7 linked regions of the Xenopus tropicalis genome follow. The protein of the gene in region 4 interacts with the protein of the main gene of each other region in a pairwise test. Links are inferred from orthologs where the notes say so. Each region holds a gene or a part of one and is shown on either strand. Other genes may lie near its edges.

The links.
Region 1: the proteins of thap1 (region 4) and phf1 interact in binary tests that used the Homo sapiens proteins (3 or more experiments, as listed by UniProt). The two-hybrid records come from large-scale screens. The link is inferred for Xenopus tropicalis from reciprocal best matches to the Homo sapiens genes THAP1 and PHF1.
Region 2: the proteins of thap1 (region 4) and acot7 interact in binary tests that used the Homo sapiens proteins (3 or more experiments, as listed by UniProt). The two-hybrid records come from large-scale screens. The link is inferred for Xenopus tropicalis from reciprocal best matches to the Homo sapiens genes THAP1 and ACOT7.
Region 3: the proteins of thap1 (region 4) and eef1aknmt interact in binary tests that used the Homo sapiens proteins (3 or more experiments, as listed by UniProt). The two-hybrid records come from large-scale screens. The link is inferred for Xenopus tropicalis from reciprocal best matches to the Homo sapiens genes THAP1 and METTL13.
Region 5: the proteins of thap1 (region 4) and dvl2 interact in a two-hybrid assay, tested with the Homo sapiens proteins (2 studies listed by BioGRID and IntAct). The two-hybrid records come from large-scale screens. The link is inferred for Xenopus tropicalis from reciprocal best matches to the Homo sapiens genes THAP1 and DVL2.
Region 6: the proteins of thap1 (region 4) and zcchc10 interact in binary tests that used the Homo sapiens proteins (3 or more experiments, as listed by UniProt). The two-hybrid records come from large-scale screens. The link is inferred for Xenopus tropicalis from reciprocal best matches to the Homo sapiens genes THAP1 and ZCCHC10.
Region 7: the proteins of thap1 (region 4) and bysl interact in binary tests that used the Homo sapiens proteins (3 or more experiments, as listed by UniProt). The two-hybrid records come from large-scale screens. The link is inferred for Xenopus tropicalis from reciprocal best matches to the Homo sapiens genes THAP1 and BYSL.

The regions. Positions count from the first base shown.
Region 1 is NC_030684.2:71,995,233-71,999,313, forward strand, and holds the start of phf1 (PHD finger protein 1), read right to left. Parts: upstream 2,801-4,081; 5' UTR 2,589-2,800; intron 1-2,588. UniProt on the Homo sapiens protein: Polycomb group (PcG) that specifically binds histone H3 trimethylated at 'Lys-36' (H3K36me3) and recruits the PRC2 complex. Involved in DNA damage response and is recruited at double-strand breaks (DSBs).
Region 2 is NC_030683.2:98,993,487-98,997,442, reverse strand, and holds the start of acot7 (cytosolic acyl coenzyme A thioester hydrolase), read left to right. Parts: upstream 1-1,156; 5' UTR 1,157-1,302; coding exon 1,303-1,349; intron 1,350-3,956. UniProt on the Homo sapiens protein: Catalyzes the hydrolysis of acyl-CoAs into free fatty acids and coenzyme A (CoASH), regulating their respective intracellular levels.
Region 3 is NC_030680.2:107,473,013-107,476,512, forward strand, and holds part of eef1aknmt (methyltransferase-like protein 13), read right to left. Parts: intron 2,646-3,500; coding exon 2,371-2,645; 3' UTR 1-2,370. UniProt on the Homo sapiens protein: Dual methyltransferase that catalyzes methylation of elongation factor 1-alpha (EEF1A1 and EEF1A2) at two different positions, and is therefore involved in the regulation of mRNA translation.
Region 4 is NC_030677.2:112,770,179-112,774,395, forward strand, and holds the start of thap1 (THAP domain-containing protein 1), read right to left. Parts: upstream 2,801-4,217; 5' UTR 2,620-2,800; coding exon 2,549-2,619; intron 1,775-2,548; exon of another isoform or gene 1,703-1,774; intron 1-1,702. UniProt on the Homo sapiens protein: DNA-binding transcription regulator that regulates endothelial cell proliferation and G1/S cell-cycle progression.
Region 5 is NC_030679.2:153,301,354-153,305,301, reverse strand, and holds the start of dvl2 (segment polarity protein dishevelled homolog DVL-2), read left to right. Parts: upstream 1-1,148; 5' UTR 1,149-1,195; coding exon 1,196-1,356; intron 1,357-3,948. Other genes in the region: phf23 (PHD finger protein 23A), read right to left, coding at 401-437.
Region 6 is NC_030679.2:37,651,999-37,654,620, forward strand, and holds part of zcchc10 (zinc finger CCHC domain-containing protein 10), read left to right. Parts: intron 1-74; coding exon 75-116; intron 117-1,430; coding exon 1,431-1,722; 3' UTR 1,723-2,622.
Region 7 is NC_030678.2:70,754,085-70,757,584, forward strand, and holds part of bysl (bystin), read right to left. Parts: intron 2,276-3,500; coding exon 2,137-2,275; intron 1,018-2,136; coding exon 884-1,017; intron 1-883. UniProt on the Homo sapiens protein: Required for processing of 20S pre-rRNA precursor and biogenesis of 40S ribosomal subunits. May be required for trophinin-dependent regulation of cell adhesion during implantation of human embryos.

The sequences.
Region 1 (4,081 bases), on a different chromosome or scaffold from region 4:
AAGAAAAACAAAATGAAGACTTTGGAGTGGCCTAGTCAAAGTCCTGACCTGAATCCTATTGAGATGTTGTGGCATGACCTTAAAAAGGCGGTTCATGCTAGAAAACCCTCAAATAAAGCTGAATTACAACAATTCTGCAAAGATGAGTGGGCCAAAATTCCTCCAGAGCGCTGTAAAAGACTCGTTGCAAGTTATCGCAAACGCTTGATTGCAGTTATTGCTGCTAAGGGTGGCCCAACCAGTTATTAGGTTCAGGGGGCAATTACTTTTTCACACAGGGCCATGTAGGTTTGGATTTTTATTCTCCCTAAATAATAAAAACCCTCATTTAAAAACTGCATTTTGTGTTTACTTGTGTTATCTTTGACTAATAGTTAAATGTGTTTGATGATCAGAAACATTTTGTGTGACAAACATGCAAAAGAATAAGAAATCAGGAAGGGGGCAAATAGTTTTTCACACCACTGTACATATTAACATGTAATAAATACACTGAGATAAAAATCAGTTATACTATATTGAAAGGGGGAGCTAATGTTACAAGAACATGTTCTATCCAATCTGTGGGCCCTTATTGGGTAGGGTAATATAGATAGTGATATTTTAAGATAATTTTCATTTTTTATGGTTTATGAATTGTTTAACTTTTTCTTTCAGCAAACCTCCACTTCAGAAATTTAGAAGCTATATGCTTGCTGGGATCTATTTAAACCCAACAACCAGGCGGCATTATTAATAAAATGGAAGATGAATAAGAAAAGGGTTTGAATATAAAGATAATAAAAGTAATAAAAAGTAACAAAACAATATAAAAAATGTAGCCTCACAGAGATGTCTATGTAAATACAGCCATAAGCACTCACTGAAACGCTGCACTGAGAAACAGGATTTTTTGTATCTTTGTTTTCCTATGTCAGAGTCTGTGCAGCTCTCTCCTCTCTCCCCCTCCTGCTCTCCCCTCCCTCAAGAATGCTAACAACTCCAGCCCCCCCCCCCTTAGGAATTTGTGATCTGAGCCAATCAGCAGGAAGCTTCCTCATAGTCTTATTAACTGTGCATGTACTCAGGTCTTGGTGCAGGTGCATTGCATTATTGGAATTTTCTATACAGAGCTCAGCTTTTTGTTTTTTTTTTTGTTTCCTATGAGGCTTCTGATCATCTGAATGGGAAAAGTATGGGGAAACTTAAGTACACTATTGAGACAACTGAAGGTAAGCCTGCAGCTTGAGATTAACTCTTTATTAGCCTTTCCTTCTCCTTTAAAGCCTCCCAATAGATACTTTGCTTGTGTAATTGTACAATTGCCTTACATAAATATACTTACTGGTTTTAGATTATTTTGGGGTGTTTAGCATATGGTATACTCAGAAAAAGAAAGTTTTTTTTGTCTGGAAAAACATTGTTGAGTGAACTACCAGCACTAATAAGTTTTCTTTAACAGATAGCTCTTTTTAATGACATGGTTTATAGACGCAACAAATAATCTGGGTGTCATGTAGTTACCTTTACAAAGTTTGCTGCAGGTATGTTAGTTTTAAGCTTATTTTTGCACTGCACCCCTCACATTCCCCCTTCCTCCTCACCATCTAATTGTGCAGCCAGTGCATGGCCATTAGGTCCCCCATTCTGGTACATAAACAACATATGTGATGATCCAAAACGGCACCTGCCTGCTTGCTGTGATTGTGTAATCCAAGACTGAAAGAAATAAGCAGGAACGGACCAAGCCGGCCAGGCGCCCTAGGCTGCCTTGCTTGCCAATGTATGGGTATGGGTGGGCACGTGCATGAGCACCGACGTTGTGGATAGAGGGGGTACACAGTGACAAGCTACAGTCTGTGCTATAACTTTAAATGCCTAACTGAAAACTGCAGGAAAAAAAAGTTTAAATAATTTAAATAATGTAAATAGATTATCTACACAACGGTAAGCATTATAAAAAAATAAATATAAAGGGCCAAATCAATAGCAAAATAAAATAATATTGTGTAGCAAATTAAACTCTATTGTTGTGTCATACTGAATACTCAATATGTAGAAAGGTAGTACAAAGGAAAATATTTATCGATAAAAAGATTTGGACAATAAGGCAACAAAGTAAGATGCGTAGGAATTTAAATGAGTCACGTCCATAGCCCCACCGAATAATACACTTCTTCTATGTACTTAGGACGTGCAATAGATACGCAGTTCTCAATAACCCATAAAGTTTCTCCAGATGGCCACTCCGTGCCCAGTGCCTTCCCCACACTGGACGGGATCTGAGTGGCCCACCTGTCTTCAGGAATGGGAGTCAAGAGCCAGTGGAGAATGAGTGCCCCCATAAGCTCATGCCATGACAACTTGATGAGGTCTGACTGAAGCTCAATCAGCAGTATTCATGCAGGGACAAATGAAAAGCCTGGCCTCTCTGCAGATGGCAAGCATTGCACTAGAGTACCGATAACAGGTTACACCAGTTCACATTGACAGAACTAAAGCCTAACATAAACGTTAAATATTTCCAATGTCCACATTTACAAAATCACCTCATAAGACGCATGCATATTAAATACATATCATATAGGTTCTTTTCAGTAACTGCGTACCTTATCAACCGCTAGATGCGGCCGCCATTTTTGATGCTCCAAGCCCATCCCACGCGTGACGTTGATTTGCTTGGATCTAAATGCCAGTGCAGTTTCTTGAGGGCGGTGGAACCGGGCGGTGCCCGGGGGTGACAGCCATGAAAGGTTGAGGAGTCTGACCCAAGTGTTTTGATGCTTTTTCATAGGGACCGACATGCCCGGGCGCGCATGCGCAAGCGGTCGCTCCTGGTGCTGGCTATCTGAAGGTCGTGCTTTGGCATTTTTTAAAGTGGGATAGATTGATTTTGTAGAAGATTATGCGCAGCGTTCAGTTGTTGAATCAATGGCTATTGTGACACCGAGTCTAGGGGTCCACTTGCATGCTGCGTATAGGGGGCCTGTCCTATAGTATGTTATAGGCTAGGTGTGACAGGTCAGTGGGAAACTGGCTAGGTGATGGGCCACTCTGGTATGATTTGTGACTTAAGAGAAAAGAGATTGAAAGGCTGAAGGTTTGGAAAAACATTAATAAACCACTTCTAGAAGTCTATATGGTCTTCAGTTCCTGGACTCTGTAGCATCTTTGTTCCTCAAAATCAGGGTGTAGAAAACAGAAAAAATTAGTTGTCACTACATAGTGTCTGTCTATGGGAATCTTAATCTCACATCCTATTTTCTTCTGTCTTTGCATTAAACACTACTGTGTGAACAGAACAGAGCAAGAGGGCCCACTTACACTTGGGCCCACCGGGAGATTTCCTGGTGGGCCAGTCCAACACTGCACTGGCAGTGAAAACACCTGGTATTGCATTGCAATGTTTTTAATAGCGGTGCACTGTGGGCACCTATCATACCAACATGCATGATACTTCCACTGTTGTCACTGTGAAGAAAACTTAACAAATGCTAATGTGTTGTGGCACAGACACAGGTTCTGTCAGAGATCTTGAATGGTAAAACCCTCTTGGACTCACATAATGCACATAATGCTCCTGCTTGTGTCTAGATGGCAAGTGAGTCTCAAAGGGGAAGTTGTTTCTTGTGTGGAAACAAACACCATATTATCAACTGTGTTATGTATAGTGATATATATTATGTATCCTGAAACAATGTAGCAGATAGCAGTTTTTCTCCAGGGAAATAATTCACAAAAGTGGAATAAACTGAAATGGGAGGAAGAAATATTATTGGCATTAAACTGGAGATTGTCAGATTCACAAAAACATTAATTCATTTTGTCAATATGGTGGTTATGTACTATATGGTGTTCTCCAGATTAACTTCACTGGTCTGGGGTACTTTTGTTGCCAACTTCTTCTATCGCATCTTCTGATCTGGGCAGGATAGGAAAAGCCAGCTCTATTCTTCCAAGTTTGGCTTTTTCATTAACATGCACACCCAGACCAGAAACCTGGAGGATAAAAACATAGAATGAAATTCCCCCAGACCATTGCAGTTTTTAGTGAAAAGGAGCACCAGCCCAGGCATCAAGCTAGCATTTGTAATTACTGGGG
Region 2 (3,956 bases), on a different chromosome or scaffold from region 4:
CACACAAGCATGAAAACATTTTTTGGGGGATGCCAAATAAAGGTGGCCATACACGAGCAGATCTGCTCGCTTGGCGATGTCGCCAAGCGAGCGGATCTTCCCCCGATATCCCCACCTACGGGTGGGCGATATCGGGGACCATTTAGGTAAAAAAAATAATAATCCGATCGTTTGGCCCTGGGGCCAAACGATCGGATTATGTGGGCGGCAATGGGGCAGTCGGATCGGGGACCGCATCAGATCCGACCAGATTTTCTAACCTGGCCGATCGAGAATCTGGCCAATTTCAGGCCAGATATCGGTCGGCCAGGCCGCTCTGCTCTCCCCATACACGGGCCGATTAGCTGCCGAATCGGTCCAAGGGACCGATACCGGCAGCTATAGTCGGCCCGTGTATGGCCACCTTTAGAACTGTGATTGGCTATTTGTCAGCCTGCAGGATTATCTGATTGGAGTAAAAATATGTCTCTGTTCTTCCAAAATATGCCCCCAGGGCAGAAATGTAAAAATTGGCACCTACTTTGAGGCCCCTGGGAGCAACATGTTGCCCACAAGCCACTGGTTGGGGATCACTGCTCTAGAACAAGCTGGCCTGAGATTGTTTATTTATTGCAATTAGGTGTACATATATGAATTGGAAATTAATTTGTGATATGTGACAAATATGAATTTTAAATGATTAATAAAATCTGACTTCTCTATAGTTAGACTCCTGGCAGCTATAGTAGTGACAGTTAAGTAATAGGTAGAACTGGGATGGGGAATCATTTTAAAAAGTGGGTTTTTACATTTGCTTTTTCTCATCTGCATCAGACAGGGGACTGAATGAACCAAGAGGATAATTTATATAATTTCATGCAAAAGGTAGGATCCTTATCATTATTGCCATTCAGGCCTCCATCACAAATACGATGTATTATCTGGGACCAACTACAATGAGAATACATGTGCTTACTGAAGAGTAACATTAGATTATAATAATGAGAATACATGTGCTTACCGAAGAGTAATATTAGATTATAACAATGAGAATACATGTGCCTAACTGAAGAGTAATATTAGATTATTGGGCCCAGGCGGCATATAATAATCGGAACGTACTAAATATCGGAGAGTGACATTGGTCATGTTGTTAGATACCCGCAGCCAGTGTTTGAGTTTGGCGCTCTTTGCCAAAGGACTGAGTGAGCCAAAGCCATTCTGTCCCCTCCTTATTCCCCTCCCCTCTCAGTCAGAGCATCCATCCTACAGCAGCCCGGCCGCCTCGCTTCTCCTCACTGCAGCCGCCGAACCTCCTCGGACATGTCTCTCCCCAAGATCTCCTCATCCTCAGCCATCCAGATCAGCAGGTAAGCCTCCCCCAGCGGCACCTATCCCACTGCCCGCTCCCGGGTGTACATGGCACTAGGCGGGCCGCGGTTAGGGGCCAGGCCGCCAGTCCCTGCTGTGTCACCGCACACGTGTATTATGTGCCGGGCTGTCTGGCCGGGACCCCTCCCTGTGCCGGCTCCCTAACAGCAGGCTGCCATGTACCTATGTAGCGCTATACCAGCCCTGTGTCTGTAGCGAGTAAAGCCCTGCGCAGCTGGGGCTGGGGGAACCCTAGTTCCTACCTGCAGGTGGGAGGTTACTGCTCTGGGAGTGGGCGGGGAATATACACCGTACCCACCTTTGCTTCATTGCGGAAGTGCTTGTGTTGCCCTTTGGGGGATATGGTGCATGTACTGCTGCAATGCATGCACTGCCCTTTGGGGGATATGGTACATGTACTGCTGCAATGCATGCACTGCCCTTTGGGGGATATGGTACATGTACTGCTGCAATGCATGCACTGCCCATTGGGGGATATGGTACATGTACTGCTGCAATGCATGCACTGCCCATTGGGGGATATGGTACATGTACTGCTGCAAGGCATGCACTGCCTTTTGTGGGATATGGTACATGTTCTACTGCAAGGCATGCACTGCCTTTTGTGGGATATGGTACATGTTCTACTGCAAGGCATGCACTGCCCTTTGGGGGATATGGTACATGTACTGCTGCAATGCATGCACTGCCCTTTGTGGGATATGGTACATGTTCTGCTGCAAGGCATGCACTTCCCTTTGGGGGATATCGTACATGTTCTACTGCAAGGCATGCACTGCCCTTTGGGGGATATGGTACATGTACTGCTGCAATGCATGCACTGCCCTTTGTGGGATATGGTACATGTTCTGCTGCAAGGCATGCACTGCCCTTTGGGGGATATCGTACATGTTCTACTGCAATGCATGCACTGCCCTTTGGGGGATATGGTACATGTACTGCTGCAATGCATGCACTGCCCATTGGGGGATATGGTACATGTACTGCTGCAATGCATGCACTGCCCATTGGGGGATATGGTACATGTACTGCTGCAAGGCATGCACTGCCTTTTGTGGGATATGGTACATGTTCTACTGCAAGGCATGCACTGCCTTTTGTGTGATATGGTACATGTTCTACTGCAAGGCATGCACTGCCCTTTGGGGGATATGGTACATGTACTGCTGCAATGCATGCACTGCCCTTTGTGGGATATGGTACATGTTCTGCTGCAAGGCATGCACTTCCCTTTGGGGGATATCGTACATGTTCTACTGCAAGGCATGCACTGCCCTTTGGGGGATATGGTACATGTACTGCTGCAATGCATGCACTGCCCTTTGTGGGATATGGTACATGTTCTGCTGCAAGGCATGCACTGCCCTTTGGGGGATATCGTACATGTTCTACTGCAATGCATGCACTGCCCTTTATGGGATATGGTACATGTTCTGCTGCAAGGCATGCACTGCCCTTTGTGGGATATGGTACATGTACTGCTGCAATGCATGCACTGCCTTTTGTGGGATATGGTACATGTTCTGCTGCAAGGCATGCATTGCCCTTGTGGTATATGGTACATGTACTGCTGCAAGGCATGCACTGCCTTTTGTGGGATATGGTACATGTTCTGCTGCAAGGCATGCATTGCCCTTTGTGGGATATGGTACATGTTCTGCTGCAATGCATGCACTGCCCTTTGTGGGATATGGTACATGTTCTGCTGCAATGCATGCACTGCCCTTTGTGGGATATGGTACATGTTCTGCTGCAAGGCATGCACTGCCCTTTGGGGGATATGGTACATGTACTGCTGCAATGCATGCACTGCCTTTTCTGGGATACGTTACATGTTCTGCTGCAAGGCATTCACTGCCCTTTGTGGGATATGGTACATGTACTGCTGCAATGCATGCACTGCCCTTTGGAGGATATGGTACATGTACTGCTGCAATGCATGCACTGCCCTTTGGGGGATATGGTACATGTTCTGCTGCAAGGCATGCACTGCCCTTTGTGGGATATGGTACATGTACTGCTGCAATGCATGCACTGCCCTTTGTGGGATATGGTACATGTACTGCTGCAATACATGTACTGCCCTTTGGAGGATAGGGGAACCAGAGACCTTCCTCGCACACCCTTAGCTCTCCAACTTAGATTATGAGCCCGGTGCACACTGCTGGGGGGATCGGCACCCTCCAAAAATCCAAAGTAACCACAAATGCAATGGCACTCAGAGCTGTAATAGGGACAAGCCCTTAAGTTCAAACTTTATTGCGGTAGTGCAACGTTTCGGGGCAAAGTGACCCCTTTTTCAAGCTTTGGGGGATATGGTACAAGTACTGCTGCAATGCATGCACTGCCCTTTGTGGAATATGGTACATGTTCTGCTGCAATGCATGCACTGCCCTTTGTGGGATATGGTACATGTTCTACTGCAATGCATGCACTGCCCTTTGGGGGATATGGTACATGTTATGCTGGAATGCATGCTTTGCCCTTTGGGGGATATGGTACATGTTCTGCTGCAACTGCAAGGCATTCACTGCCCTTTGTGGGATATGGTACATGTTCTGCTGCAAGGCATGCACTGCCCTTTG
Region 3 (3,500 bases), on a different chromosome or scaffold from region 4:
TGTGGAGTTTATTGCAACAGCAAGTTTTATGAATTACTAGGCATTTTCAAGGACACATCATTTAATACCAATATTGAGATGCTCCATTCCTCACTGGAGATAAATTTACGCTGGCTGAATTGCTATATTAAAAAACCTAAATAAGAAATTAAATGCATGTGACACACAAAAGGTCCTTAGGAAGTACCACCTGCCCTAGTAGTCACAATCCCTATACTCATAGGCATGTTTCTGTTACAGCCTGGCTCAGTGCTACCTGGGAATTGGCACCTGAAGGAACAAAATAGAGCATCAGCTCTGCCAAAGAGAGAAGGTACATTGTGGGCAGCCATATAGGTATAGGTCTTTCTAATCCTTCCAGTGTAATCTGGTATGATTGCAAATAACTCTTCCAGAAATGAGTAAAGTGGTTTGCAGGTTTGCACCCTTGACCAGGGTACCAAAGTTCCTTAGCAAAGCTCTGACTTTTTGGTTAGTCTCCAGTTTCACACATAACTCTGCTAGCAAAGTGCTAACTTCTTTTAATCATGTATAGTGTGGGGGAGATTTTTTTTTAAAAAGGCTTTCAGCAAAACATGCCCAATTTGCAGTGTATATATATATATATATATATATATACATACATACATACATACAATGTTCATCCTTGCACCATTTAGCCTATTGTAGCCATATATGAGTTGCTACAATCAATGAAAACCAATCAGCTCTGGGTATTAAAGTGATACTGACAGCCAATTAACATTTTTTTACACCTTCTGTTGTGTTTTAATATGTATCAGCTTTAAATTCCTTATAAACTAAATCTGCAAAGTTTTTTCGCTTCATAATTATGGTAGCATGAATTACAGGCCCACGGAGCAGCCATGTTTGTTCCCCTCTTTCAGGTTTTAATTTAAATGCCTCCCAAGTGAATAAATATGCTTTCAGCCGGTGTGTGACAAGCTCAGCTCTGTTGTCTATGTGTAATGGGAAGGGGGAGGAAGAGCCCTTAGAAGCAGGCAGGCACGGGAAAGCTATTTAAATTCTTTGTGCGAAGAGCAGAAAGGGGGGGCAGCCCTCTGAAGCAGGCAGGCAGGCAATGGAAAGATCAAGCCTGCCTGCTATTTAGTTCACAATGCGAGGAGCGAGGGAGGAAGGGGGAACTCTTTGAAGCAAACGGCAAGCTGAATCCTCCCAGTTTATGACAGATTGAGAAGCTACAGTCGGGCTGCCAGTCGGGTTCAGGATCTTCAGTAGGATTTATGTAGAGAAACAGGACTTTTAGGAAAAAACAGTCAACATGATCTAGGTTTGGAAGTAGGTTCATATTTTTAAAAGAAATGTTTTGGTTTCAGTATCACTTTAACGCCTGGTGCTACCTTAGGTCTATACATGAGCAGAATGGGTGGAAAAGAACCAGTTTAAAAGGGATGTCCTGGTAGGAGAAAACATACATTTAAAATTTGCCCTACCCCTCTTGAGAAAAGGGTGACCTTTTTTTACACTTTGCTTTAGCAGAAATCATCAGCAGGGAAAGAAAACACACAGCACAGGGTTAAGTGCTTTGCAGCCAGTAGAATTAGCTTGACTTAGAAAAGCCCAGGCAGGTGCAGTAGCATTTAACTCCACTCTTCCCTCACTAACTATCCTGCTGCTGCAGTCTGCTCTGAACCAAGGATTGGGTAAGCCCATCATTTCAACATTAAATATTATAGGAAGAAGACATATTTTCTAATATTGGGAAAAATATTTCCTTTAAAAAAAAAAACTATCACTCAGTACAGCAAAGCTGCAAAAAAGTAATGATTTAAAAACCATAAAGCAGCATAAAAAATTCGATTAGAATACAATTTTCTAGTCTCAAACTAGGAGTTCATTTAAATGGGCACAAATTTTACGAAAGTGCCTGAATTTAATAACAACTAAAAACCCAGCATCATTTGTAATCTAGGTTAGAAGAGGCCAGAGAACAGAAAGGCAAACAATTAAAAGACACAAAAACCTCTCACCAGATGTTATCCTAGAACAAGGCAGAGATTTTTTTTTATAATAGGACAGGCACTTTAATAGCATGTATCTTCCTTGAAGACCAGGAACTTTTAGATGGACCATTTTGTATTTGTAATGTTCATTTTTGATTTGTTATCCAACATTTCACTGAAGAAAATATACTTGGTTCTTTATAAACACATACAGGTATGTTTAAACACAATTTGGTAAAGTTTATGTGTAACACATTGTGGGTATGCCTAGGTAGCCCAGTTGACCGCACCTAATCTAGAAGCAAGGGCTTCATTAACATGTGGATGTGTGCAGTATCATTTTTAAATTATCCCTGGGCCAGCCCCTGCTGCAATTTTTTGTAAGAAAATTTCCAAATATAGTTTTTTAAACTATCTGAACGGACTTCAGCATCTCAGCCAGACTGTAAGTGCTGTCCCATTGAACCCCGGGCTTTTTAAGTTTTTTCTCCAAGTTCATTGCCAGTTCTTTTAGCTCTAAAGAGCTGAGTTTCCTTTCTGAATTTGCACAGCAAAACAAGATCTCATTGACTTCTTCATCAATCTTCTGGGCATAAATCAAAGGGAAAATTTCACGGAGAACATTCAGCACCTTTAATCTCAAAACTGCATCACGGCATACCAAGTTCAGAATGAATACACCTAAGAGAAAAACAATCTTTCATTAGCACAAGCTTCATGAATAGTTAAACAAAGGTGTACTGATAAAAGGCTGTAGAATAACTAATCCATTTGAGCAACTATAATATTAACATGTAACCACTACCATATTATAAATAATACATATTTAGCATGAAGAGGTACAAGACCCTTAGTAAAGGGTTGAAAATGCTAAAAGTAGTCAATATATTGAAATATAAGCCTAGTTTTTCAGCATCCAAAACGTGCTGAAAAAAATCACCCTCAGCTTATACTCGAGTTGGGTGCCATGGGTGCCCCCAGACTAGAACCCTCTGTCCTTTGTGAGCAAATTAGGCCACCTGCAACCAAACCGTCCAGTGCCCTGGCTGCCCCCTGTCGCAATACTTATTTCCCCTTATGTGTCCCCCGGGACTGGGTCTGCTGTCAGTTTGCCAATGCGCAATGAGCATGGGGTAGTACTCATATTGTTTTTGTGGACCCTCTTCTCCACTTACAGAGCTAGTTTATGGTTTTTCTTTGAAATAAATATTTAAAAACATATACCCCACTGATGCCTCAATTAATGTAATTTTATTGGCATTTATTTTGATTATTGAAACTTAGCAGTAGCTGCTGCATTTCCCACCCTAGGCTTATACTCGAGTTAATAAGTTTTTCCAGTTTTCTTAGATAAAATTAGGTACCTCGGCTTATATTCGGATCGGCTTATACTTGTGTATATATGGTATGACACATATTTCAAGGAGTGGTGGTGGGATTTGTTTTGGTGAGCTCTTCATGCAGCCAAAGGTTAAAAAAAAACATGTTTTTCTCCCACAAATTTAATTTCATCTGTATTCGTTAAAATAACTAAGA
Region 4 (4,217 bases):
CCTAATTTTACCTAAGAAAATTGGAAAAACTTATTGACTCGAGTATAAGCCTAGGCATCCATTTCTTTTAACACACCTGCACAAAACGCTATCATCATCATGGAAGATAGAGAAAACATTGCAGATGAGAAAATAATATATTAATAAAATAGATAAATAAATTGGGCATTTTCTCCACCTGTGTATTTCGGCCAGCTGAGAAGCATCCAGAACCACCCTTGCGTTTGACAAAACAACATACTGTATATCCAGTCTCTCAAACACTCAAAATGACCGGCCATAAGAAAACTGGCTTGTGTTAAGCCACCTTAGTTTGTGCAACATTATTGTATTTAATTAGCCCTGGTAATGCAAAGACTTTAGAGCAGCTGCTTTTTAGGTATATCAGGGGAGAAAATGATCAGTGTCTGTTTTTAGGAGGCAAAAATTGGAAAGCAGTGCACACGTTATCCTATACTCATAGTAACACATATCGATCACAGTTCCTATTTAACCCATTAGGTTTCTTAGTAATAATTCACTGTCAACCATTGCCTAAGAGGGAGGACATGTTCCAAAAATCATGAACCTTAAGTCTGAGGCAGGAGGTGTAAAGTGAGCAGCTGTCAGCCTGTGTACAGTCTATGTGTGTCAGTCTGTGTATCCCTGCTGCCTAAGGGCCTGTCTCTGTGGCAAAACTCAAAATATCAAAGCGAACAACTTAATATGCCCTTACCTTGTAGTTGACCCATGTTGCAACTCTGAGTTCTTTTAAATGCCCTTTTGTGCTGTTGACTTACTCTATTTCATTGATCCAGCACCGATCCAGCACCTCGCCAGCCATCGGGCGCCAGCCATCATGCTGTAACCGGGCATTCGTCGCGCACAACATATCACGTACCTTTCCAGCAATCGGGCGCGATCGCATGCACGTATCCAGCACCAGGCATCCGCGCACACATGTCACGCGCACGGGGGGATGCATGCGATTGCGACGGATGCCCAGTGCTGGATATGAAATAGAGTAAGTTGCGCGCCGATGGCTGCCGAGGTGATGGATCAATGAAATAGAGTAAGTCAACACTCGCAAGCATGCGAGCGCATATGTCCAGGGTTGGGCGGTGTGAGCAAGCGAGCGCACGGCCGGGAGAACGTATATACTCGAGTATAAGCCGAGGGTGCCTTTTTGAGCACATTATTAGGGCTGAAAAACTCGGCTTATACTCGAGTATATACGGTACTAACAATGTTCTTAAAAAGTCAAATATTTATTCAATTTAAATTTTAAAATAAGACATTAAAACAAATTATTGCAAAGTAAGAAAGTATGGAGTATATTATTTCAATTGCGGCTTCCTCAATTCAGACATTTTAATCCCAGTGCTAAAAGTGTTAACAGTTAAATTAGATTCTTGCCACATTGATCACAGAATCAAGAACAGTCTACAGCATTGCTGAGCAACATCTGAAGTTTCAGGGGTCTCACACTGAACCCAGACATATCAAAAGGACTGCAGGTTAGATTTGATGTTGGTAATGAGCACACTACACTACAATACATTTTAATAAATGCAACATACTCATACTGAAGGGCTGAATATAGCCCCCATGGCCAACTGCAAGACAACAGCAGGGATCTAAATGATTGGTTAATTAGCCATAAAGAAGATGCATACATAAAAGCAGTGGCGTAACTACAAGGGGGTGAAATGCACCCCTCTAGGCCCACCAGAGAAGCAAAATGGAGGAGTTTTCCATCATGTGACTACGCCGCTGTTGAATAAGTGTACCCAAGGTTAGGTATGCTACTGCATAAAAGGCAACTTTTACAGCAACAATATAATAATGGAAAATATATGTATTTCTCTTTAACAGGGTGTTACAATTCAGAAAAAAATCCCTTTCCTTTTTTCCCTACCCATACCCTAACTGGAATGCGATGTTCCTAAGTGATATTATCTTAACTTATGAATAGGCTTGATACCCAAGGGGTATTTTAGCAGTATGATACATTACTTTGTGCAAATGCTTTTTAAGATTATTATTGAATAGGACATACTTTTTATTTGTTTAAATTAACAAATATTTATGGGTTTGGGTTTTCTTTTATTTAACATAGGCACTGAGAGCTTAAATTTGCCAAGTCAATGTTGGAGAAGGAGAAGGCTGTGTAACATACAACTGTTTCACAGATAAACCCTATGTACAGGGGGAATATTTTCTGACAAGTTTCACTCAGATAACATGCACAATTGTGGCAATTTTTACCAGAAAAAAAGGCAAAAGCGTTAAATATACCAGTCCACATATTTATATGATAAAATAAAAATGAGGTAAAATCACTCTTCCCCTTCTTAGGTCCATTTATTTCAAAGTTTGAACAACTGGATGCAGCTCACACACAGTAACACAAGGCGAGGCCGCGCACTCCCAGCCCCTGACCACGTGGTATCGGCAGGCGCCTAGCATTAGAACAAGCACCGAGCTTCGCGCATGCGTCTCTTGCTTTCAGGGGACCGAGAATACTATCCAGCTAAATATTACCGGGCAAAGCGCAAAATGCACTCACTTGTGAAAAGAGATGGGTTTATCCTTATCGTAGCGATTCTTGCAACCGTAAGCCGAGCACGATTGCACCATGTTTTCCGACGCGCCCAGTTTCTTCTGCTACAGACGGTACCGCCTTATTGCACCTTGAAAAGCGCGACGGGTTTTCCGTAGATTGCTTTAATTTCTCGATCTGGTGTATCGCTGGCTACCGAGTTGACAGCACCACCGAATTAATTTACAATAATTTTGCAGAGACTGTTGGTGAATTGCGCTCCTCCCGGCTCCAAGATGGCTGACAGCGCTTCAGGTCGGCGTCACGTTCGCTGAGCGGGAGCTGGACTACGATTTGCGAGGGTGTACCACGTGGTGCAATATTTGCTCCGCCTATTCTTATGTTTACGTCTAATTGATTTAGCCAGCCGGGGTTTCTTTATATTTCTGTAGAAAATGAGTAGGTTACTCGGAAGGTGTGAGTATATGTAGGATTCAAAGGATTTTATTCGACGTATTTGTTTTAGTAATCAGAAGCGTAACAAGGGCTTGCGACTTTGTACCTTTATATGATCATTAAACACATGTATGTCTTTCAGTACCCTTATTTAGTTGGCGTGTATTATTGATTAGCGAGAACAGGTTAATCGGTTCGTAATCAGCCCGCTTGTGCGCTAGTTAAAAGTGGTAGGGAAGTTGGATTGTAAGCGCCACTATGTACGAGTTGGTGTGAATGAAAAACAATCTCTCTAGCGCTGCCCAACTTGTGGGTGCTGTATGAGTAGTATGTCTGTAATGTTACCTGTGTGTAACGAGAAACAATGCTCCAAAGGTGGGAAGGCATACTTGGCCTCCTGCAGGTAACTTTGGGAAAGGAAGTGCTTTTTGTGGAAAGGCATTTCCTGGAGACTAGTTACCCACAGTAGCTGAGATTTAGTGCAGTGGCACAAGGGGAAATTAGTCAGATTTTTGTTGCCGCGGGTAACCTCCCCGCAAAGCCATCCCACCGGCAAGAATGTAAATCGCCAGTGGGATGGCATACGTGTCGCTACGATTTCACCCAAAGTACTTAGGGCAAGTTCGGGAAATCGTAGCAACGCATATGCCGTATTGTTGCGGGGCAACTAATCTCTTAGTCTGCCACTGCCCTTAGGGCTCTGGCACACGGGGAGATTAGTTGCCCGCGACAAAACTCCCTGTTCGCGGGCGACTAATCTCCCCAGATTGCCATACCACCGGCGAAAATGTAAATCGCCGGTAGGATAGCATACACGGCAGCGGTGGGATGGCATTTCGGGGAGATTAGTCGCCCGAGACACAGGAGATTTGTCGCGGGCGACTAAGGGCCAGAGCCCTTAAAGTGCACCAATTGCCCCTATGTTGTTTCCCCCACCTGAGGTGCAGCCTAATAGAGCCCATGCTCCGGATAGGGGAAACAATAGTTTTTCCACTGCACCACAGTCACCACTGCAGGTAGCCATGTCGGGGCACACGTATGCGCGAGTGTGAGTGCTGCAACTCGCTCATTGTGCACATGTGTGTGACGTAGAAGGGTAATTTACATTCACCACTCCTACATCAGGCACATGTGCTTATCATGCGCATTCGTGCCGACCAACATGGCTCCCTCCTGGTGCGGGTAGCCCAGTGCTGGCGAGGGGGAGTTTTTTTTTAATCAATTGTTTCCCCCAACTGGA
Region 5 (3,948 bases), on a different chromosome or scaffold from region 4:
CACACAGTATATACCCCACTAACTGCCCCTTCCACACACAGTATATACCCCACTAACTGCCCCTTCCACACACACAGTATATACCCCACTAACTGCCCCTTCCACACACACAGTATATACCCCACTAACTGCCCCTTCCACACACAGTATATACCCCAATAATTGCCCCCCCACTACCTGTTATACCTTTTTAACTGCCCCGTCCATGTGTTATTTACCCCAAACCTTGGAAACTACCCCCCCCGGGGTAACTATCTCCCGTTGCCCCCCAAGCTTCTGCCCCAACATATTGAGCCCCAGTTTGATCCAAGTGCCCCATCCGCCCCTGGGAAGGGCAGTTTTGTCCCATTCTGCCCCAATTACCCCACCGGCCCGACCTACCCCTCCCCACACGACTCACCTTCAGGACTGGCCTCCCCCATGGTGGTTTCCAGCATCTCCGAGCCCTGATACCCCCTCCGGGGCAGAAACAGACTCCGTCACACGATCGTCTCCGGCCAGGGGATGGAACAGCTCCAACTGCCCCTCCTAGGGGCAAATGTTCAGGCCCTACTGCCCCCCTCACTAACAGAAGTACCCCCCCACCCCGGGGCTTATACCCTGCCACTTGGGCTGCTACCCCTCCCGAACCGCCTGCTCTCCCGTCGCAGGGAACACCAGAGATGTAGTTCAGCCGCCGGCGCAAAGCATTACGGTCCTTGTAGTTCAAGAACCATGGTCACTCCCCAACGAAAAAGCCAAGTTCTCCGAATAAGAACTACAACTCCCAGGAAACCTTGCGCAACTGAGCCCTCCCAGCAGCCCCCGCGCTTAGCTATTAATCAGCACAGAAAGGGAGGGGCGTGAAGCGCATGCGCATTAGGGACCGAGGCGTCGTGATGCATGCTGGGAAATGTAGTTTGCGTCCTCTACCCGCTGTTGGGCGTGACCAGCGCCGTAAGTTTTGTCCCGCCCTTGGCGCTAGCGGAAAGCGCTGTCTGTGGGAAGTGCGTGGTGCGACAACGTAACGGCAATTTGCAGAGTCTTGTGATTGGCCCCTGTGGGCCTGTCAGAGAGGCGTCTCCTAGTTAGTCCCGCCCCGCAAGTGCGTCATTCCGTCACACGCCGCTCTGGGGAGCTGCTGGGATTCGTGGGCGGTAGAGGCCGCAGCGGGTAGTACGGGAGGCCGGGGCTTGGGGTTGCGCTAGGCCGCAGGATGGCGGAGACTAAAGTCATTTACCATCTGGACGAGGAGGAGACCCCGTACCTGGTGAAGGTTCCGGTCCCGGCCAATGAGATCCGCCTGCGGGACTTCAAGGCTGCGCTGGGCCGGGGCCACGCCAAATATTTCTTCAAGGCCATGGACCAGGACTTCGGGTACGCCCCTCCCCTGTGGCCCCTGGGGGTCATGCCCCGCCCCTTCAGGCCTGCCCTCCTGCTGCTTCTTCTGCAGCCCTAATGTCTACCTGATAACTGCCCCACTAACTGCCCCTACTACTGATATTTACCCCTCAGCCCTAATGTCTGCCTGATAACTGCCCCACTAACTGCCCCTACTACTGATATTTACCCCTCAGCCCTAATGTCTGCCTGATAACTGCCCCCAGTAACTGCCCCCAGTAACTGCCCCCAGTAACTGCCCCCAGTAACTGCCCCCACTACTGATATTTACCCCTCAGCCCTAATGTCTGCCTGATAACTGCCCCACTAACTGCCCCTACTACTGATATTTACCCCTCAGCCCTAATGTCTGCCTGATAACTGCCCCCAGTAACTGCCCCCAGTAACTGCCCCCAGTAACTGCCCCCACTACTGATATTTACCCCTCAGCCCTAATGTCTGCCTGATAACTGCCCCACTAACTGCCCCTACTACTGATATTTACCCCTCAGCCCTAATGTCTGCCTGATAACTGCCCCACTAACTGCCCCCTGCTACTGTTATTTACCCCTCACCCCTAATGTCTGCCTGATAACTGCCCCACTAACTGCCCCTACTACTGATATTTACCCCTCAGCCCTAATGTCTGCCTGATAACTGCCCCACTAACTGCCCCACTAACTGCCCCTACTACTGATATTTACCCCTCAGCCCTAATGTCTGCCTGATAACTGCCCCACTAACTGCCCCTACTACTGATATTTACCCCTCAGCCCTAATGTCTGCCTGATAACTGCCCCACTAACTGCCCCTACTACTGATATTTACCCCTCAGCCCTAATGTCTGCCTGATAACTGCCCCACTAACTGCCCCCACTACTGATATTTACCCCCTCACCCCTAATGTCTGCCTGATAACTGCCCCACTAACTGCCCCCACTACTGATATTTACCCCTCAGCCCTAATGTCTGCCTGATAACTGCCCCAGTAACTGCCCCTACTACTGATATTTACCTCTCAGCCCTAATGTCTGCCTGATAACTGCCCCAGTAACTGCCCCCTGCTACTGTTATTTACCCCTCACCCCTAATGTCTGCCTGATAACTGCCCCAGTAACTGCCCCTACTACTGATATTTACCCCTCAGCCCTAATGTCTGCCTGATAACTGCCCCACTAACTGCCCCCACTACTGATATTTACCCCTCAGCCCTAATGTCTGCCCCACTAACTGCCCCTCTAACTGCCCCTACTACTGATATTTACCCCTCAGCCCTAATGTCTGCCCCACTAACTGCCCCTACTACTGATATTTACCCCTCACCCCTAATATCTGCCTGATAACTGCCCCAGTAACTGCCCCTACTACTGTTATTTACCCCTCAGCCCTAATGTCTGCCCCACTAACTGCCCCCACTACTGATAATTACCCCTCAGCCCTAATGTCTGCCTGATAATTGCCCCCACTAACTGCCCCACTAACTGCCCCTACAACTGATATTTACCCCTCACCCCTAATGTCTGCCTGATAACTGCCCCAGTAACTGCCCCCTGCTACTGTTATTTACCCCTCACCCCTAATGTCTGCCTGATAACTGCCCCCACTAACTGCCCCAGTAACTGCCCCTACTACTGATATTTACCCCTCACCCCTAATGTCTGCCTGATAACTGCCCCAGTAACTGCCCCCTGCTACTGATATTTACCCCTCAGCCCTAATGTCTGCCTGATAACTGCCCCACTAACTGCCCCCACTACTGTTATTTACCCCTCAGCCCTAATGTCTGCCTGATAACTGCCCCACTAACTGCCCCTACTACTGATATTTACCCCTCAGCCCTAATGTCTGCCTGATAACTGCCCCACTAACTGCCCCTACTACTGATATTTACCCCCTCACCCCTAATGTCTGCCTGATAACTGCCCCCAGTAACTGCCCCCAGTAACTGCCCCCAGTAACTGCCCCCAGTAACTGCCCCCAGTAACTGCCCCCAGTAACTGCCCCCAGTAACTGCCCCCAGTAACTGCCCCAGTAACTGCCCCCACTACTGTTATTTACCCCTCAGCCCTCAGCCCTAATGTCTGCCTGATAACTGCCCCACTAACTGCCCCTACTACTGATATTTACCCCCTCACCCCTAATGTCTGCCTGATAACTGCCCCAGTAACTGCCCCCAGTAACTGCCCCCAGTAACTGCCCCCAGTAACTGCCCCCAGTAACTGCCCCCAGTAACTGCCCCCAGTAACTGCCCCCACTACTGTTATTTACCCCTCAGCCCTAATGTCTGCCTGATAACTGCCCCACTAACTGCCCCTACTACTGATATTTACCCCTCAGCCCTAATGTCTGCCTGATAACTGCCCCAGTAACTGCCCACTGCCCCTACTACTGTTATGTACCCCCTCAGCCCTAATGTCTGCCTCATAACTGCCCCTACCAATGTTATGTACCCCCTCAGTCCTAATATCTGGTACAGCTTATTGTGTGCCCAGAACATTCCCTCTCTGTATATTTGTATTTATACATATGGGTAGGAGGTGCCATAGTGTTTCCCTTAGACAGTACAGTATGGGGGTACAGCTTATTGTG
Region 6 (2,622 bases), on a different chromosome or scaffold from region 4:
TATTTGGCTTTTATTTGCCTGCACAAATTCAAATTTATGTTCAGCTAATGTAAAATTGTGTTTTCTTTTTGTAGCAGTGGCAACAGTGTTGCTGAAACAAAGATGAAGAAGAAAAGGTAAATTTAAACTTGTTTAAAGCTCTATAGCACCAGGGACTTTAAAGAGATGCTAATATTAGCTGTGTTATTAAACTGTACACCATGTGCAGCAGCCCAGTACACTAAGAGAAGTGCATCCCCTGAGTTTCATAATGCTTTGAATTTTTATTTAAAAAAAAAAAAAAAAAAGTTATATCAAAACTGAAATGTATGTGGCTTTCCCAGCATATCTTCCATTTTACAGAAGGAGAAACACTTTCTGGTGAAAATGGCATTATAGGATGCCGAAGAGGAGATGTTTAACTTTTTTGGTGGAGACCACAATTATGTCAGGGCCCCCTTAGTGTATATCAAGGTTAAAGACACCTGAAAACACTATTGCATGAATATTTAAGACAAAAAATAGGTGATCATCATAAAGACATTTCAGTTGAGCTTCCATAAATATTGAGGAATAGGCATCATCCAAAAATCTCAATTCAGCCTGGACTCCCCATTCATACCTCTGCCGTCTCTGCCCCACAGAGGGCCAGCCACACAGTTGAGGAATGAATTCTCTAGATAAATTCTACCATGTTGATGATTGCTTTTTATTAATTGGGCTTCTTTTGTAAGTAACTGTTACTTGAAGTTCCTAAACCTGACTGTTCTGCTTATCCTGTCAGTTACAGCTTTTAATGCTAACGGACTACTGCTGCACAAATATGGCAGCCCCCCTCAAAGAGGAACATGGGGGATCACATAGCTAATGTAAAAGCATTTAGCAAATATTTTAAGGCAAAATTATAAATAGCATGCAAAGACAATGTTGTTAAAGTGTCCCTTTTAATCATTGAGCAAAGCACTCTTTTAGAGATACTTAGGACATTCACAGTGAACCACCAGGAAATCATTAGCGGGATCTTTATTTATTGGTGGTATTAACATAATTACATTTAAGAGACAGTAACACTAAAACAAAAGCTGCTTAGGAATATGTTTTAGTTTCTATATATTGTTAAAGACTAGGGGAATCTGTTTAGATTAAAAGCATTCCTGCTATGCAATCACATAGTAAGTTCTTGGCAAGGAAATGTAAATGTATAGCATTTTATGCAGGTTCAGTTTGAAAAAAATATTGAATCCTTTACATGCATATTTGTTAATGTTACAATATTTTATAAATACATATAAATATTTTATAAATAGCATAAAAAGAGCTACAGATCTGAACACTATTAATACTGTATATAGCACATTTCTGAATGAAGTGTACTGTACTATTATCAGGTTTTTAAAATATATAAGTTTTTGCCTTTTTTGTTGTGCCAACATGCATTTTTCCCCCTCCAGGTCTAGAAGTGTCACAAGCTCCAGCGGTAGTAGCAGTGGGAGCAGCAGCAGCAGCTCTGATACAGACTCTTCTTCAGACAGTGAAGACACCTCCAGTTCTTCATCATCTTCAGAGGACAGTGACAAGAGCACCTCAAGCTCTTCAACTTCCTTGTCCTCACAAAGTTCATCCTCCTCATCTGAGTGTGACTCTGACACAAGTGCCAGCAGCACCAGCGCAAGCAGCAGTACCAGCAGTGAAGAAGACAGTAGCTCGGAGGATGAGCCTTTGAGAAAGAAAAGAAAGAAATAGAATTCATGAAGAGACCTACTTCAAAGCTTTCTCATGGCGTCCTTATAAAGATTCTACTTTATTCGATTATCAAAAACCTTTTGTTACAGCAATTGGCTAGCGTACATTTAATACAGTTTTACTTGACAAATCCCCAGCTCTGGTTGATTGCTTTTCCGGATCTCAAGTGGCAGATCCTAGTTTCTTCCGTCTCTGAAAGACCAAAAATGCCATGATACTTCCAAGTTACACAAAGATCACCAGAGAATTTAAAGGGCCACTGTAAATTGGTGTATTAGCTATGGAGGCTTATTTTAGTATGTAAATAGGTTCTTTGTACAAACTGTGAAACAATCAATCCACTTCTCTTACATTTTAAAATATAAACAGGGTGCAAACTAGGAACAAATGTTAAATATTTTTTCCTTCACTTGAAAGTGCTGACTGTACTCATGAAGACAATGTCTGTGAGAATATATTTTTCGAGGGCTAAACTAGAGAGAGAGAGAGAGAGAGAGAGAGAGAGAAATATATGTAATAATAATAGGGTAAGTGTTGGACTGTATTGTAGTCCAGCTTGTTATATTTTGTGGAGAGGAAGAAACCACAGACTTGAACTGTTGAAGTTCATTTGTTATGTTCGTTGTGCTGCGAGATTGTAAATAGCATTTCAGTGTTCTGCCAGGTGCCATGACTTCAGACATAGTCATTTGACCACACCCTGGGTGGCAGACTCTGCTAGTTTGAAACTTGATACAGTCACCTTGTGTTATGTTTTGGGTTACTGACAATGTGTGCCTTTTTATTATTTTTTTTAAAGTGACAAAAATCTAGTCTTAAATTCTAAGCTATGTATGGATTTCTTCAGTTTGTTATCAAACGTGACTCTATGATTGGATTCTAAAGTTCTAACAGCAACAA
Region 7 (3,500 bases), on a different chromosome or scaffold from region 4:
TCTTCATTCCCAACTTCTGCCAGGTGATGCGGGGTAAGTTGCAAATAAAAATGAAGTCCCAAATAAATGCATAATGAAATACTAGAATTCTTAACCAGAAGGGCAATACAGTCCAAACCAGGGATGGCATAGTTGGACAGCTTAAAAATACTGCAGTATATGGATAGGTAGGCATTTTGTTAGTAGCTTTTGCAAATTATGTCTTAATTTTCTTTAATATATTGATTCTGGTGAGTAAAAAGGATGTTTTTTTCCTGTCTGAGGCACTGCCTCAGGTTATTTTCTGGTTATTTTGGTTCCCTCCACAACAAAAAAAAATATATACAAGCAAGTTAAATGGCTCCTGATATTATTGCCCATAATGTGTGTGAAAGTACATTAGGAACCTTAGATTGTAAACTATAAGGGCGGGACTGAAGTGAATGTTCTCTGTAAGGGCTTTTACCCTGCATTCAGTGGGTGGATACAGCGTGCAGTGGATTTCTCCTGAGTTCCACCTCAGGGTGGAACTCTCAATGTGTAAAAGCCCTAAAGAACTGTGTAAATGCCAGCACAATAATTATTAGGGATGCACCGAATCCCGGCGTTTTTTTAAGGATTCGTTTTCGGACAGATCTGCGAATCCTAATTAGCATATGCTAATTAGAATTTGGAAAGGGTTAAATGTTTAACCCTTCCGATCCTAATCAGCATATGCCAATAAGAGTTCGGAGGTTCGGCCGAACCCAAAAAAGTGGGTTCAGTGCATCCCTAATAATTATAATGAAAATAATAGTTATATCACCAAAATGATCATTTGTGCTTCTTTACATAATGCTGCTCCAAATTATTTCAAAGACAAACCATGGATCTTTTTAGTCTCTGTAACTGATATAAGTCCCACCTGGTAGCCTGGTACATAGCTGCAGCTGTCCAAGTTTCAGGCTCTGTAATGTACAGAATCTGCTCCCAATTTGAGAGAGCAGGAACTATTTTAAAAGCTTTTGGCAGCTTTCCACTACGATAAGAAGACAGGACCTAAAAGGTGAAGTCACAGAGAGTATTAGCAAAAACATGTTCCTCAGACAACATAAATAGGTAATTAATAACATTAGCATTTAAAAAAAATTAGCATTTATGTACAGCTTAGTCAACACAAGAAAAAACTTTAGCACATGTGGTGTATTAACAGTTCCTGGGCTGTTCTGAGTATATGATTCGATTGTTCAACAAATGGGTTCATCCAATGACCCTTGATAGGTGGTCACTAGTTAGCTGAATATTATATTTTAAGCATTATAACATTTGTGAATAATTCTAAACACAAACAATGGCCAGAGAATGTAATAATTTTCAACTTGCTGAACATGCTTTAGTTAAAGCCTCCAGGGCCAAACAAACACTCCATTTACCTGTGCAAGATTTTTTTTATTACTTAGCCAAGGAAATATATATATTAGCACTTCATAAATTTAGTTGAGTCACCAAATACACACCCAAATGTATGATATTTGGTACAACACATAGTTGGTTAGATGCAAGTCACATTTTGCCCCCTTTATGGTAATCTATTAATAATCCCAACCACAAGGGCATTTTACATGATAAAATAGAGAGGTAGAAAGAGATCCAGGCAAAAGAATTTCCACATCAGTTGTCTTACTAGCATATAGTAGTGCCTATTACTGTTCTCCGCTCAGTCTCCTAAAATAATGTTTCCCATGAGAATTAACTTAGTCTTAAAAGAACGAAAGAGAACATTAAGTATGTATGAATGTTTTCAGCTTGTGTACTAGGTCTAGTAACCAAAAACAACCAATCACATTGTTGCTTTCAAACAAGATATCAGTAGTTGCTACCTACTGGCTGGTCAGCCTGATGCAAACCCTGCAGCTTTTATTATATCAACCCTGTAAAAAAAAACCCTGTAAAAAATTCCAGATACTGCTGCGAAATGTATACATTATAGTGTATACATTATATTTATATATTATAAATGTATACTATAGAAAGAAAAGTAGTTCTGCTGGGCTATCTGAAATGAACTGAAAAAGTGTAGTGGAGGTGAACTACCCCTTTAACAGCTGATCACTGATCATATTCTTTGCTGAGCTGCATTCATTTGGAGGGACCAAAAATATTAAATATTATTCTCACCTCTTTTACCCCTTTATAAACCTCAAGTACCCGGGGGTCCAACTGTGGCATTGGCCGTCCAGAGACCTCTGACATCATAGTTTCTACCTCTGTTTGCTTCTCTGTGATCTTTTCCATAATTATATCAGCTAGAGTGCGTCTGAAATACAGGGAATATTTCTATAACATGGTTGAAGGACACAGATATTCCATCCACACATTGATATCAAATACAATTTATGCCACAGACTTTGCTGCATGAGTACATTTGTGGTCTATATGGCATAGGGTCTCGATACACTGGCAAGAATGACAACCTATCACAAAAGAAGGAGTAACCATAGGTGTTCTATTAGATCCGCACTGAGCAGGTTGAACAACTTAAGTGATTCTGTAAGCAAAGTAGATTTTTTTGTGGGTGTCCTAGGGGCCTAAATGAACAACTGCTGTTATCAGTATTGGAGTGACCTTTAAGTTTTTTATTTCCATTAGTTTTTTTTTTTTTTGATTGGAGGCGCTATGTTGCAAATCATGTAATTTGGATCTCCACTTTATGGGAAATGCATATCATATATGATTTCCTCATGCTGTTTGCCATATATGGTTCCAAATTTCGAGATAACGAATTCCTTGCCCCACATACCCGATATACATGGATGATGATAAGCAAAAATAAAGAATTTATACTCACGTAAATTCCTTTTTCTCAGTCCCGAAGGCAGCACTTACTTAGAGAGATGTCATACCTAGGGTAGGAAAAACACTACCTTCTCCAAATAAATTATTCCGCCCCCTTTACCCAAAAAACCTCTTCCCTCCACCAACCTTCAGTGATTTCTCAAGCAATAAAACACAACACAATGCTGCTAAATTATTTACTAAGGGAGGAATATTGTGCTGCCTTCGGGACTGAGGGAAAAGGAATTTACGTGAGTATAAATTCTTTGTTTCCTTCACGTCCCTTGGCAGCACTTACTTAGAGAGTTGAGTAGCAGTAATCAAGGGGGGAAACTTTACAACCAGAAAGGAGAACTGTATTTGCAAAAGCCACTTCCCCAGGAGTACTCATATTTACACGGTAATGGTCTGCAAAAGTCGCCTCCAAGTTCTGCCTGCGAAGCAGACACTGCCCTTGTAGAATGTGCTCTGAGATCCACTGGAACTGGTCTTCCTGAAGAAGAATATGCAATAGAAATCGCAAGCTTTATCCACTTGGCAATGGCAAATTTAGAAGTGACCTTGCCCTTGTTAATAGGGTCCTTGTGGCTGGTCGCAATTAAGGCTCCTATGTCATCTACTGGTAAAAATTCCTCCGAATCCGAAATTTCTCCTTCCTCTGAGTCAGAATCAAATTTACACTTTGGTCTTCTGATATTTCCCTTGGG